2 linked regions of the Styela clava genome follow. The protein of the gene in region 2 interacts with the protein of the main gene of each other region in a pairwise test. Links are inferred from orthologs where the notes say so. Each region holds a gene or a part of one and is shown on either strand. Other genes may lie near its edges.

Evidence for each region.
Region 1: the proteins of teneurin-3-like (region 2) and filamin-C-like interact in binary tests that used the Drosophila melanogaster proteins (3 or more experiments, as listed by UniProt). The link is inferred for Styela clava from reciprocal best matches to the Drosophila melanogaster genes Ten-m and cher.

Annotation. Positions count from the first base shown.
Region 1 is NC_135263.1:16,706,119-16,713,596, forward strand, and holds the start of filamin-C-like, read right to left. Parts: upstream 3,023-7,478; 5' UTR 2,774-3,022; coding exon 2,431-2,773; intron 1-2,430. UniProt on the Drosophila melanogaster protein: Involved in the germline ring canal formation. May tether actin microfilament within the ovarian ring canal to the cell membrane. Contributes to actin microfilaments organization.
Region 2 is NC_135263.1:226,487-233,336, forward strand, and holds the start of teneurin-3-like, read right to left. Parts: upstream 3,018-6,850; 5' UTR 2,933-3,017; coding exon 2,871-2,932; intron 2,174-2,870; coding exon 1,956-2,173; intron 269-1,955; coding exon 224-268; intron 1-223. UniProt on the Drosophila melanogaster protein: Involved in neural development, regulating the establishment of proper connectivity within the nervous system. Acts as a homophilic and heterophilic synaptic cell adhesion molecule that drives synapse assembly.

The DNA of each region.
Region 1 (7,478 bases), about 16 Mb from region 2:
AGTCATCAAGCATGGCCAAGTTAAAACATGATGAGGTTACAATGAAATGTCACCGGCAATATTCAGGGGAAAGTATTCTTTAACAATATGCACATTTTGACAGCGAGTATTCGGTTCAAATCGAGCCATGATGTAATCTTATGCCTGCATTGCAACGTGTATCTACTGTCCGTTTGTTGTCATTTCATATGACGTTATTTTTGTAGAAAGTTCAAAACTGAATTATTCCAGATTAAGAACGGAAAGGAAATAACACAAGTTTGATTTATAGCAACTTATATCTGACCAAAGAAGATGTGATGGCAATGTTTTCACGAGGGCGTAAGCGTTAACTTCCGCATGCCTTCCAAATCGGAATACCACGCATTAAGCCCGACCATGCACTGAAGAACCAGTGATGCAATAAATCAACCAATCCACAAATTAAAGATCTTTCGGTAATTTAATCTGCGACTATTTCTACCACACTTTTACATCGTACGCATCGATAATAGTAAATAAAAAAGTATTCGACTTTAGATCAAAAGCTAAAAACATCTCCTCGTGTGTCAAGTCATGTATACTTTTATATGGATCAGTAGGCAAGAGTAAAAGGGTAAAGTTTGCATCAGCAAAGCCATAGTACTCGACAAGGAAAAGTGAAAGCAAAACTTAAAAAATCCAACAAAACTGAATGTCAACATATATACAGAACGAGAAGCCGTAGTAAGATTAGCTCATTTTGTACAATACTACAATCGATATTCAAGCCATTGTCTACTCGATAGTTGTCACAATCGCCCTTAGCTTGATACTTAAACCCAAGCGGCTTATTATGGCTTTATGTTTATATAAGCCGGTCTAAATGACATAGTATTAAACGGTAAAACATGACATTTAGATTAAAATATTATAATTGTTTTCAATGTCAGATATCATTTTACGCTTAATCATGTACAAATTACCAGTCTGCGTGAATTTATGCTCGAAAACAAAAATCTTATCCGTATGTTTACGTGCATATCAAAGTTTTTATCCTACTGTCGCCGGCAATTTAAAAGAATGATCTACAATGTATGGGAACTATACAGTGTGCGCGCAGCTTGATTCAAATCTAATAACAATCACAAATCAACATTCTTGGAAGCGTAATTGACCACCAGCTGAGGATATCAATCCAATTTGGCTTTGCGTTGTAAAGAATGGCTGGGTTTTTATTCTCACAAACTCACGCATGGACCGAAAATGAACGCACCTTCGTAGCCAATCGAGCGCTGTAAATAGGCAATAAATGAAATTCCGTTAGTCAGACATTATTCACGATGTTTACGATTGAGTTCGTTTAAGAGTTCGTTTTAAGAGTTTCAGAATGAAATACAATTTTATGACATGATCAATGGGCTGAGGTGATGCATTATACTTTATTACGCACAGCGCAAGACGTGAGCAATGCCAATGTGTCTTCGAGCGAAGAAAACAGACGACAAACGAATTAATGATCTTGTATGCATTGTCGCCATTAAATGGAGCTTATACGAAAATTTCAATTACAACAACAACAGCGAGAACCAGTATTAAAATAAGATAGGCTTCATATCACATGGATTTCAAGCGCAAAAACGAGCGTGCAGAGCGTTGTCATATTGTTTACCAGCATTTAAATACTGCACTGATATGTTTTTATAGAATCTAAGCATACTTAAAAATGATTTGCTCAGTACTTTTGAACGGTAGGTGTATCATTGGCCAAACCAGTCTCATTTTATTCCCCTCTGTTAGCGGTAATGTATCGGTATTTCTATGGCTAGAATGATTGAACGAGTGCGCATGCCGCTAATAATAAATTGTGACCGGCGCCTCCGGCTATGAACTTCAACGCCCAAATTTGTAACCTGACGTGATTTTTTTAACAAAATAAAGTACGAATAATGTTCGCATTCAGAGCCCCAGTGATTTTTAAATGCCGCCCAACCTGAGCCAAACATACGCTACGCTGACAATATTGATGTGGTTCCATCGTTTGCATAAAACTTGGCAGTCGTTTCCTAGTAGTGTTGACTTGCATTCTGAGTGAAATACGTGTTGTTTTGTAAATTTTATATCAGAGATGTGTAAAGGCCTTCTCGCCTAACAGACTAGTGACAAATCATTTCCGCAAGGCCTTAGTGCAATTGGTTTAATTGTTGTTTCTGTTATGGTGAGCGTTAACAGACGCAATGAAGCATTACGTTTGCTATATTTTCATTGCATGGGACGCAAAATTATTTGAGACTCCTCGGCAGCCCAGTTACACAATCATACAGGTTTTGGGAATACTCGGTGAGGCGCAAATACATCACCACGCCAGAACATGGTGTGAAGTATTATGTTACTGTAATAAAAATGCTACTAATTTTCATAATACTGTAATACGGCTTTTTGAGTCGTTAAATTGTTTAAAAAAATGCTTACCAATGCTAACAAGCTTGATTCTCTCTCTTTCCAAAAATTTCAACGCCACGGAAACGTTTTCCAGCTTCATTTGCCTGAAATTAGGCCTCTTGTTGTACTTATCCATTCTTTTCTGGGATAGTACTTCCAGGAGGCTAATCAGCCTCAAACCATCGGATAAATCCGTCTCCAAGCTTCCCAAACGCTTGTTAACACATTTTAGATGCTCGTTACACCACCTGGTAAAAGTATTCTTCTGGATTTGCTTCCAAGGAGCATCTTCCGCCAGTTCCCTTTCGGTAGCCGGCATCTCTTCGTCGTCGTAGAACTCTCCGCCTGAACTGACTTCACCAATGCTATTCATCGCGCCTTTTGTTAGCTATATATATAAACGAAAAAATCTACGGTTCAGTGCACAATCAATGGTTTTATAGCGTTTGATTGCGTGTGCTTGCACGAGTTGAGTGAATTCCGCTAAAATTCGAGTGGAGTCGCGAACAAGTCGTTTCTTTGCTTTAGTTCAGATCAAATAAATATCGGAGGCTTGTCGTCTCTGTTTTCCAGTTGTTGAGATGATATGTCAGTTATAACAACAATCTAGCTAACTTACACATTCCTATAATATATGAAAATGTTGGGTTTAGAAGCATTTTATATAGCGTTTAGTCGCTTGGGCGGAAATGAATACGTTTCTTGCTACCACTTCACACGTAATTGGAATGACCTTCAGGTCGTTACGAAGCATCTGAAAGTGCTTTTCAATTATATATTTGCAATTTCTCATCACCCGTCAGTGTATACTATACACGAGAAATATTCGGCAGGGTATAAAGTAAATAAAAATTTCTTTTTTGCACTTTTTATCACAATATTATAAATTTGAATCACGAAGATCGATGAAATAGATTGTCGTTAGAAGTTTTGAGGGATATGATTATTATTTTAGGTAAATTTGGGAAAAGTGAGCTAGGTAATCCACTCAATTGTATTCGTAAATTCATCTTCGTGTATAGATATAAAATTCTATTTCAGAATTTTTATCAAAATAATTCGAAATGCGATGATAAAACAGTTATGGGCAAATTGCCTATCAAAACAATGACGTCATCTGATATGACGTCTACAAACGTAAACGCCCTCCACCGCCAACAAGCACAAAACAAAATTTTAAATGTTCTACTGTCCTCCTCCCCTTTTTGGATTAACTTGAATTAGCCTATCAGACCAACGTGACCAGACTAGGGACACGTGCGCTTGCCGAATTTTAAACGGAACGTGAAAACTGGAATTGTGAAATTGCATTTTGTTTTCGCACTTCTTATCACCTTTCCTATAGGAAACAGTCAACATGACTTTGACTAAAAGCGATACCAGTTATTAAGAGCTCACACACAATAAACATAAAAATATTATTAGAAAGCTAGTGAATATATGCCGCCTGAGAAAAACAAATGAAGATATTTGTATATTAGCGATGTCGAATAGCATCAAGTTCATCGAGATATAACATCGAAGGTTTAGCATCAATAGCGATATCGAAAGTATAGCATCAAGTTCCTTCCCCCGCTGGGCAATATCATATTTTATGTTCATTTTTCCCGTCGAGATGAATTTAATATTTGAACAAAAATTCGTTGGATTTTTATCAAATACAATATCATGATAATTTATTTGAACAACAGAACTATAACTTATTTGAATCTACTTTGATTAACCGAACTTTCCTCAAGTATACTTGAACAGCACATAGCCAATGCAATAGTCCAAGTTCCTAACCTATACACAGGCGACACAAAGCTCTTGCACATGGTTGGCTACACCTCAAAATAACATATTTCAAATCATGCATCTTAGTAATAAATACTCCCCGTAAAGGTATTATGTCTCGCCCATGCTTCCAGGGATGCCAGAAACGGGCGGTTCTGCATCGGCGGATATCTCCATGTTCACTTACGTAGAAATATTGGGATGTGGTCATTGCCATATAAGATCATAATGCGTAGACTGTTCTAGAAAAAGATACTCCTTCATTCAGGCAGACAGCTACAAATTAGATTATCGTTTTCAGTTTATTTCTGAGCCTTGAAGAAATAATCACTTAATATTCATTAACGAGCCTTACATCATACATTAAGCAGATCATACATTTCTAGAAGTCATATTTGTAGACCAATCCTTCAAAATCGGAAAAATAATGTATTTCCTAATATTAAAACAAGTAAAATTTAAATTCATTTAATGATGAGAATTAAATTAAACTAAGTAATCTCTCTCATTTGTAAAGGGTAGATTAAGTCAAGTTTGTAATATACCCACGACAAACGATTAATATACGTCGATTAAAATTGATATTCAATGGGGCAAATTAGAATCTGCATTTATAAATAGAAATCATAAATGTGAATGGGTTAAGTGGATGCTATTTTGCTTTTCCATAGTATTTCAACATCTGTAGTCTTTCTATGTTGTTTAAGAAATATCTTTCTAAAAGAAGATTACTTCAATCTACTATCGTCAATATGAGAATTAAGCAGAGCGTGATTGTAAAATCTATTTAGAATCCACAGATTCAAATTTGTCCAAACCTATTAAACATATGTACTTTTGTAGTTATAAAATTCTTTTCTTTGACTTAGAAATCATATTCCAAAAGTAATTCAATAATAAATGATTGTATAGACTCGACATATATCACGTTATTCATCAATAAGCCAATTGGAAATAAGTATTTTATGTACATTATGGGCACACTTTTTTATCCAGTAATCGGAAAATGTGATCAACATTATCGTCGATTTTATATTCAATTAATTACAGAATTTAAGATAGAATCACGCTATAGTACATTACAAAATTCTCAGTGTTTTCGCCACTTCAAAATAATCATTGGACTAGTTTTAGCACTGAACAATTGTTTCCACTTCCACTCAAGAGCGTTAGCTGACAAATCACAATGGCTGAAACTGTTCAATTGCAATATAATCAATCGAAGAAAAAAAGCTGGGCCAGCCGGATCGCTCTCCGGTAAAATCTACACGACGTCATTGGTGCTTTTAATAGGATGTGGTGTTTTTTCGCACCTTCAGAATGTACAATTTGTAATCGTAGAGTTTTAAATTCCAGAGTATAATGTATTCTACCGGCGGAATCTTATCAGGGATTAATTCTGCGATGTTATTTGCGTCATCATATCCCACTACGGACGCATTTAGCGAAGGCGTGAGCGCGGCGCATGTGCTGAGAAATCCCTAAAGACCATAGAAACTTTGCGAAAGAACGTATAGTAAATATAATTTCAGTATTATTATGTTTCAAGATATAGGACCTTGTTTATACACTGATCTTTCTCATAATGTTTCAAACCGGATGCGAGTGTAATAACGAAGACAAGTCAACTAAAATACCTGCTGATGAGTAGCGTATCAAAACTAATATTTCGAGACGTACACGTGTAAAAATACAAATTATGTTATACACTGAGCAAAAAATGAATAAAAATGAATAATATACAAAAAAAAAATAGCATGAACAACGGGACATCAAAAATTGCTTGCCATTGCAGACAATTTTGCTATGTGCGGCGGAGAAAAAACTTATCAAATTTTATTTAAATCCGTCTCTTTTCATGCAAACATAGATTGAACATTCGAGATCATTCAAAATTAGTTCGGTCTGTATATAGCTTTTTTTTTGGTTTCAGAATGAATAGTGTATATATGGTTCCATTACATTTGAACCCACATACATTTGAATTCACGACAATTGCACCTGCATACTATTGCACCTATGGAATTTTTTGTTTTTGTTTTACGAATATTTGAACCCATACTAACACTAACCCATGGGTTTTCGCATCCGCATATAGATTGAACCCGCGGATATACACATGGGTTCAAATGTACGTGGGTTCAAATGTACGGTCACCGTATATATATATATTATATATTTATTTGGAAAAATTGTCATGCTAAGAATTTGCAACATTACATATTAAAGAAATGAGCTCCATTCAAATCTGATCGGGCTGCCTGCAGAATATTATGTTATTTGGTTTTCACAAATTACTGGCAGTAAAACAAATAATTTAAAAAAGAATATTAACGACATACTTGTACTATTAATTGTCAATTCGAGCTGATGGATAACAGTGATCAGAAATGCATTACTAAACAATTACCCCAACAGCGAGCAATACCAACTACCGATTGTGATTAATGAACGTAAAACAAATGCGATTTAATTAAGCGGAATTCACAAGTCTCTGTGGGGTAGAATTTAATTAGGAAAAACATTGACAGAAAAGAGTTCATATTAGTTCACAGAGATTTCAAACGTCCAAAGTAGGCCGCGATGTACATCGATAGCGTTCTTCATGTTATCTAAGACGGAAGCAAGAATGGGCCTCGCCTATTCATACATAGCCCTATCTATAGGGTCATACTGCACTAATAAATTGATTTTCCATGGTTTCATATTGAAAAAACACTGTTAATTTGTAACTCAACGACCATAATAGGAAGCTGAGTATTTTCATCAAACAGTTCCGAACAATTAAATTTATTCCGCTCAACTATTTAATTATGCGTTAAGCTCATAAAAACTGCCTCTCACATTCTAATTATTATGGTAATGTAAAGTAAACTCTCGTATAAACTGTAAATTAACTGTATACATCACAATAAACGAACTCTGAAATAACGTGAATCTTGAACGCTTGGAAGATCAATATTTTAAACATAAAGAGATTACCCTAACGACCGATTTTTAGGGGCCTCTTACTGGAAATAGCACAAACATTTATTGCCGATATATAAAGAAAAACGAATGAGCGAGGCGAAGAATAGCTTCAAGTTTTCTTGCACCGTTTCAAAACTTCTGACTCGAATCTTTCTAAGCGAAATATTGTGCATCTTCGCCAGATATCTTCATAGCTCTATTTGTTATCACACAGTTATTACCAATGAGGCTATTACCGACTGTTGACTGTTTCTCCAATGATGCAAGCTTCCAAAATAAAAATATGTCAAAATCCCGATGGTGACGGTTGATAATTGAAATCCCTACGGGCT
Region 2 (6,850 bases):
ATGACGCCCAAATTTTATTTTTATTAATTTTTTAATTCGAACTTTTGCGCGTGCAAATACTGACTCAGAATTTCATAAAATTGATGCAAATGTCAATGTGAAGTTATTAAAATTATTCAAGCATGAAAATCGAGCAAACACATCAAACAAATCAAAATAGGAATAAAATTATTAGAATATTCGAAAAATCAAGAATGATTTCGTAACACTAATGACGTCATACCTTCAAGTACGTCATCCAAAGCACGGAGACAACGAAGAAAAGAAGCTGAAGGAAAGGAGTGAAAGATGAATAAAGATAAGAATCAAAACTAGGTCAAAACTATAGTTGATGAGTCGGGAATTGGCTAGATATATTGCAACATCCTTGACATACGCATACCGACCCACCAGCGGAAAAGCAAAAAAAGATCAGTAGTTTGCCCCATAGTTGAAACTCAATTGATAGAATATGTTACTGCTGTCAAGAGACTTCTGTATCCGTCAACGGATCCTACCGATTCAACAAATATTACACTTAGAATAATTCTAAGCTTCATGTTGGTATTTATTTCAATAGCTTTTAATAAATACCAAGAACGAGAATTTTTCCGGTTATAACCGCAACATAACACGATTTTAACGCGACAATTTATTCATGAAAGGCTTCAAAATTTCCGTAAAATCCATCTTTATTGATTCGAAATTTTGGTTTTGTACGAGAATGTGCGGTTCTTCATAAGTCTAATCTTGTTAGATTGAGAAGACGACCGTGAACAACCACATTGTTACGTCACTTCAGATCTTTTCATTAGACCTGTGATGAAACAATTACAAGCTAACGCCTCCCGAGGAAGTTATGGATTGGCAATCAACAGAGCGTGAAAACATGGCAATCATCCGTGTAATTTAAGATCCCGGCAAATAAAATGAATAAAACATAATTAATGAGATCAACCGAGCGAGAAATACAATTTCTCAGAATGTTGAGTAGAAGAAATCGGATAAACGACACTCTTACAATGATGATACAATATGACATTGAGTATGTTAATGGCGTTTTACGCAGGCTTTCGAGATGGCTACTGTCGTACGGTTTTCCAAAATTCGAAAGTTTGATCCAAACGAGATAAATATATTAAATTTAGACAAAAAGACTTTTTAACGCTACATAGCATCGACCGTGTTTGTATAATTTTAGGCGTGCTTACGCTGTCGTTATGTGGGAGTCATATTATCCCAAGATGAACCGAACACATTCTAATATGATGTCGAATAGTTTAATCATATGGGGAACCATAAGCACGACTATGGTATTATTCGGATGTTAGTAATACTCCTACTTTTTAAAAATCAGACACTAAAAGACTCGGCGGTTACATGGTGGTTTGCGTGTTCGGCTTAGCAAGTGGATGGCCAAGATTAAAGCTTCAATGTCAAAGAGCGCACTACCACAACCAGAGTTTGACAAGATATGGCGGACCAAAACATTCTGTCCCATAACATAATAGGGTACTCCCTTAGTGTGTGAACCAGGTTAGGGTTAGGGCTGGTAATTTCAGGGAAAACACTTTAACCGTTAACCGGATAAAATTAAACGGTTAATGCAGTGTGAGTTAAATTCTACTGTGAGATATATATATATATATAAAAAACGGCATTAACTACGCTCTTGTTGGTAGACATTGAATATGCGATTTTAAAATAAAATCGTGAACAAAATATTTGAACGAAAAACTGATTCTTAATTATTGCCAAATTTTCATAATCAGCAATCTTGGTACTTTTATTACAGTTATTTTTCACATTTATTGGGTCTTTACCAATAACGTCAGTAATATTCTTTTGAATGAAACGCCACAGGAGATAAATTTGCGATGACGTAATCCTTTTTGAAAGAATTATACATTATTATTATTATATCGTTGTCGAAATTTCTACAAAGCCAAATAGATGAAGTAACGTCTAAAAGTTACCTGGACTAGATCCTTCTGATTCAGTGCTTCGATATCGGTTCGAAACTCCGCTATCCATTGAAGGAAACTTCCCGTTGACCTTTAATCTTTGATCACTTGACCCTGAACTTCCGCTTCCGTAACTTACACCATCCGTGCGTATGCGAAGCATAGGAATACTTTCTGGCTCACCATTGGGTTTTTGGGTTTTGTTCGCTTTTTGAACTTGTTTTGAGGCTCTGTAAGCATGGAAGAATAAAATATAAGTGTTTCTATATTAATAAAGAAGGAACAGAAATCCGATAAAACGGCTTATTTATATGACAAATGAAGTCTTCTCGCTCGGTTTTCAGACCAGACCAAGTCTGGGAATATGACCTACCCGGTTTAACGTTGCTGTTGTCTTAGGATAATATTATTATCAAGACTAAAATGGGTACTCCCGTAGTATTGAACCAAGATGGCGGACACCGAAACGTAGTATATGTACCAGATTAGGCTATATTTTCAGATACAAATACTACAGGAGTCACTTGGCTAGTCCCGAACTCGTAATAAAACCAAATTAAGAATAATTGGAATGAAATTATTGGCCTAACCCTAACATACTACGTCCGGCGCCCGCCATCTTAGTTCGCATACTACAGGAGTACCCTAAAATGTCCCTTGAATTAGATAATTAGCCGCAGATTTATACCGAATTTATAAAATTGTATTATACCAGAATTTTTATTGGCATGTTAATTTTTCAAAATTATTTGATAATTCGGTTCGTGCGAATTCGTAAAACATATTTTACGAGCGTCTGTACTTTTGAAAATCCGTCTTCTGAAAGTTTGAGAACTGCGGGAAAATTTTATACCGAATGTCGTTTTCCTTCCAATAATTCAGTGTTTTTAGCAAATCTATCTTTGAGCAAACTAATCAACCACCTACCTGGGTTTCACGGCCGGTGTTTCCAGGCTTGCTATGGTCGAAGCAGATAGTTGTGACGTCATATATTCTATTTGATGACGTCACTAGTTACGTAGCAACAGTGATTCCATAAAATTTATTCGGACGTAAATACCACTTAGATTATAAATAAATATTCTGCAAACAAAATTTCATTCATATATTAGCAATAAAGCGATGGTTTGGGTTATTTTTGCAATTTGTTCTTGTAAATGGTTGCAAGACATAGATTTAACGAGAACAATGACAAATAACTATGATATACTGATCAGTGATTCAACTATTCTTCTTTTATGCTTTTGCACTGGTGGATCCGTACAATGCGAGGATAGTGTAGCAAAAGTATAAAGACAACTAACTGACATATCCTATTCACAAACACTTTCGGCTAGAAGTACTGTATGTATTAGACTCACTGCTTCATCTACTGACACAGCTGACATGGGCAAACTACAACCCGCGGGTCAAATCCAGCACCTTGGGTGGTTCGATCTGGCCTGCCTGATGTTGTCATAAATTATCGCTTTTAACCAATTATTGTTATTGAAATCTGTATGGTGCAATAGGCTTGCCAGAATATTGTCCAAAAACCTTGCCCACCCATGCTCTACAGCAGGGGTCGGCAACCTTTTGTTGCTTGCGGGCCAAAATTGAAGGTTGCAAGTCATTGGCGGGCCGCACATATCTTTAGAAAATTGTGAACCGAACTGATGATACTTTTTATAATAAAAATCAAGCAGTGATACATCTCTCGAGAAAATATAAATTCGTTTCATTGCATCTCAAAAAGTTCCATTTGAATATTTTCGGCGCCATTGCTCCCTTCGCACTTAGCATCAATTTTTGTTTGTCATTTGTCTAATCATAATTAAATTTTAGGCTCATGAAACGAGTAATTGTGAATTATATACTTGTTAGATTATAATATAATTTAGTCTACACGTGTCTCACAATAAATTCTGTTACGTATAAAATGGCTTCATCAAAACAGCTGTTTTGTTACTAATATTCAGTGAAACGTCACGGGCCGGATTATATTACTCCGCGGGCAGGATCTGGCCCGCTGGCCGTAGGTTGCCGACCCCTGCTCTACAGTCTACTCTACAGGGCGTAATAAACGAACCAGTTAGTAAGCCACAGAAAATCCGAAAAACACATTAAAAACGTGAACAGTGAAAATAGGTTTCAATTTTAATATGTTTCGCACAATTGATACTGAAAATATGACTAATAGGTATTGAGAACCACGTCGGATATATTCCCTGAGGTTTCAATTCGAAGTCGTCCGTAAAATGTTAATTTATTTACTGTTATAGAATCCGCATTTGGAACGGAATTGTTAATTTATTTACCTGTTTAAAAGTTTTTATATTTGAAAAGGAAAATGTAACGCAGATTTGAATTTGTCGGGTTTGAGCTGGAATTTAAAATTATGAAATGATCAAGGTCAGACTTCCTCAGACAAACAGTTTACAACGATGGAAAAAAATCAACTCATCCTATCAAGACATCGATTGTCATACGATGCTTTTCACTCCAAACAAGGCCATGTACAAGCAGACGCAATATGTGAATTATTACTACTTTTGAAAAGGACTGGATGTTGCAGCACCGTTTGTCAAACAGTTGAAACTTGGCATGTAGCGGGGGGCAGTTACCAAACTAACACAGAAAATTTTTCAGAACGATCAGGCCATAGGAAATGGGCCAAAACGGGCTTTTAAGGGACTGGGACCTGTCATTGGCTAATCAAGCTGTCAGTCAGTCACGCTAGAGTGATTTTGGGGTTCAGAGGCCGTTTAGCTTGGGGTTTTGGGCAAAGATTTGCGTAATTCTCAAAGGTATAATTAAATGAAATTTTCTTTACTAGAAAATCGGTGTTTCCCCCTCCCAATCGACCTCCAGTGGCGTAAAAAGGTTGCGCTCTTAAAATGGAGCTATTGAGAAATAAAATAAGTTAACTATGGTTGGAAAAATTAGTTTAACATTTTTTTGAATAAAATTTTTTTTTCCTACTCCGCAGTCACGCTTTAGTGATTTTGGCTCATTGCAGGCCTCTGAAGGAACTTATTAAGAAAGTAAAGACATGGGCATGTTTAGAAAAATTATTCGAATCCATTTTAAAAGAATTTTTTTTTCTTCAGCTCCTCAGTCACGCTCCAGTGATTTTACGTTATATCTCGAGAATGGTAAAAGGGTGAGATGTCATATTTGGGCCATACAAGATAGTTGAGGTCTAGTTTATGTAAAAAAAATTCGTCACGGTTGAGTGATCACGGACCTTAAAATTGGAAGAATTCGACTCCGGTTAGGGGTGATCAGTTTATTACGTGGTATCTGAACTTCTTAATGGACTAGAGGGGTCGGAGGCAGAGCGCCGGACGAATTCCCGTCAATTGTCCGGCGCAACGACCCGTGCCCTCCAACAAACTTTAAACAAACATCTGCTTCCTAATTTACTAAAAATAATTCTATACAATTTCCCCTCGCGGGTAGCGTAGCGACCTCCCCTGGATTTGTCTATTAGATCCCACTACGACAACATCGCTCAGTCTATTTTCTAAGTCGTCGTTTATGCCGACCTATTTGAGGGGTTAAATAAAATATTTATCATATCTTATGATTCGGCTTTGATTTACCGACTTTTCCTTGAAAACTTTCCTTTTTAGGCTTCAATATCCAGACGCGACGATTAGATACTAAAGTAAAAAATCCATCGACTGCCTGTCATTTCAATTTCTTTTTTTAAACTCTTCGACATTGCTCTAAAGCTAGTCTCTCCTACTACTTCTAGCATGAACTCAATCAGCGTGCTCATGCCCCTTTTCTTCAAATATAGCTGTTTATTTACTTCAAATAATACATGATATTCATGAAAAATTCACACGTAAATAAAAATTGCTCTAGCCATAGCTTGCAGATAGTTAGCGTATTGAACCATACGATGTTTTAGTCGACGTATTTACCTCGAATTGTTTGGCATTGACTCTAAAATTAGCGTCTTGTGGACTGATATGAACGCAGTCAATTGTTTACTTTGAAAAATACAGGAATTTAATAAAAATTCACAAGTAAATGAAAATTATGCTTTTGCCAGTTTGAACAAGCTCTGGTTGACAGACAACGAATAGTTAGCGTGTTGAACGTAATTAAAAAAATCTCTGAAAATCTGTGGTCCAAATGCCACCACATAACACGATATAGAATAAATAAGGAAGACTTTGGAGTAGAAGGGAAATGCGAGCCCTTATAAGAAACGTAAGTAGGTCGGTCCGTGTGCACATTGATTAAGATTTTCCATTTGAAACTATTAAACAAAATGATAAAAAAAAGAAACTGAAAGAACATTGTCGTTTTAAAACTAGTACTAGTGTAGATACGCTATAAGCCATACCTGTTATATGTACGACAGGCCATTCTCGTAGTAGGCCATTCACATGCCGATAGGGATCATATATCTATACCTTATCAGCTGTCTATATGAATGCCAAATATGAATATGAATGCTGAAGAGCCCCCTCGAATTGCCTCTGCGACCATATATCCATCGGTATTCCTAACATGCTATCTATATGTCAGCCCAATAGCCCTCTGCAATGCAGGCCATTCAAATGTCGAATGACGTCATATATCCTTCCCTATTCCCAACCATGGTTGCTGGTGCGGTAGTTCGCATGCATCATTAGCTGATAATACCCGTTCGTGCCGTAAACGTAAAACCACGCGACCAATTGTGCAAGTGACAGTGACTTTCTATCAACTTGAGATTTTTACCAGTGTGCGTCATTCCTTGTTTTAGGCTTTCGTTAAATGGCCGAATAAATAATTCAAGCAAATGTTTTAAAGTCACTTAGAGGTTTCGAGACAAATTTAGCCTTTACTACACTGTTATAAAATAAAGAAAATTAAAGAACATTTCGTGGTATTTTATAACGCCTTCAGGCGGTTTCGGGTCGTGTTCA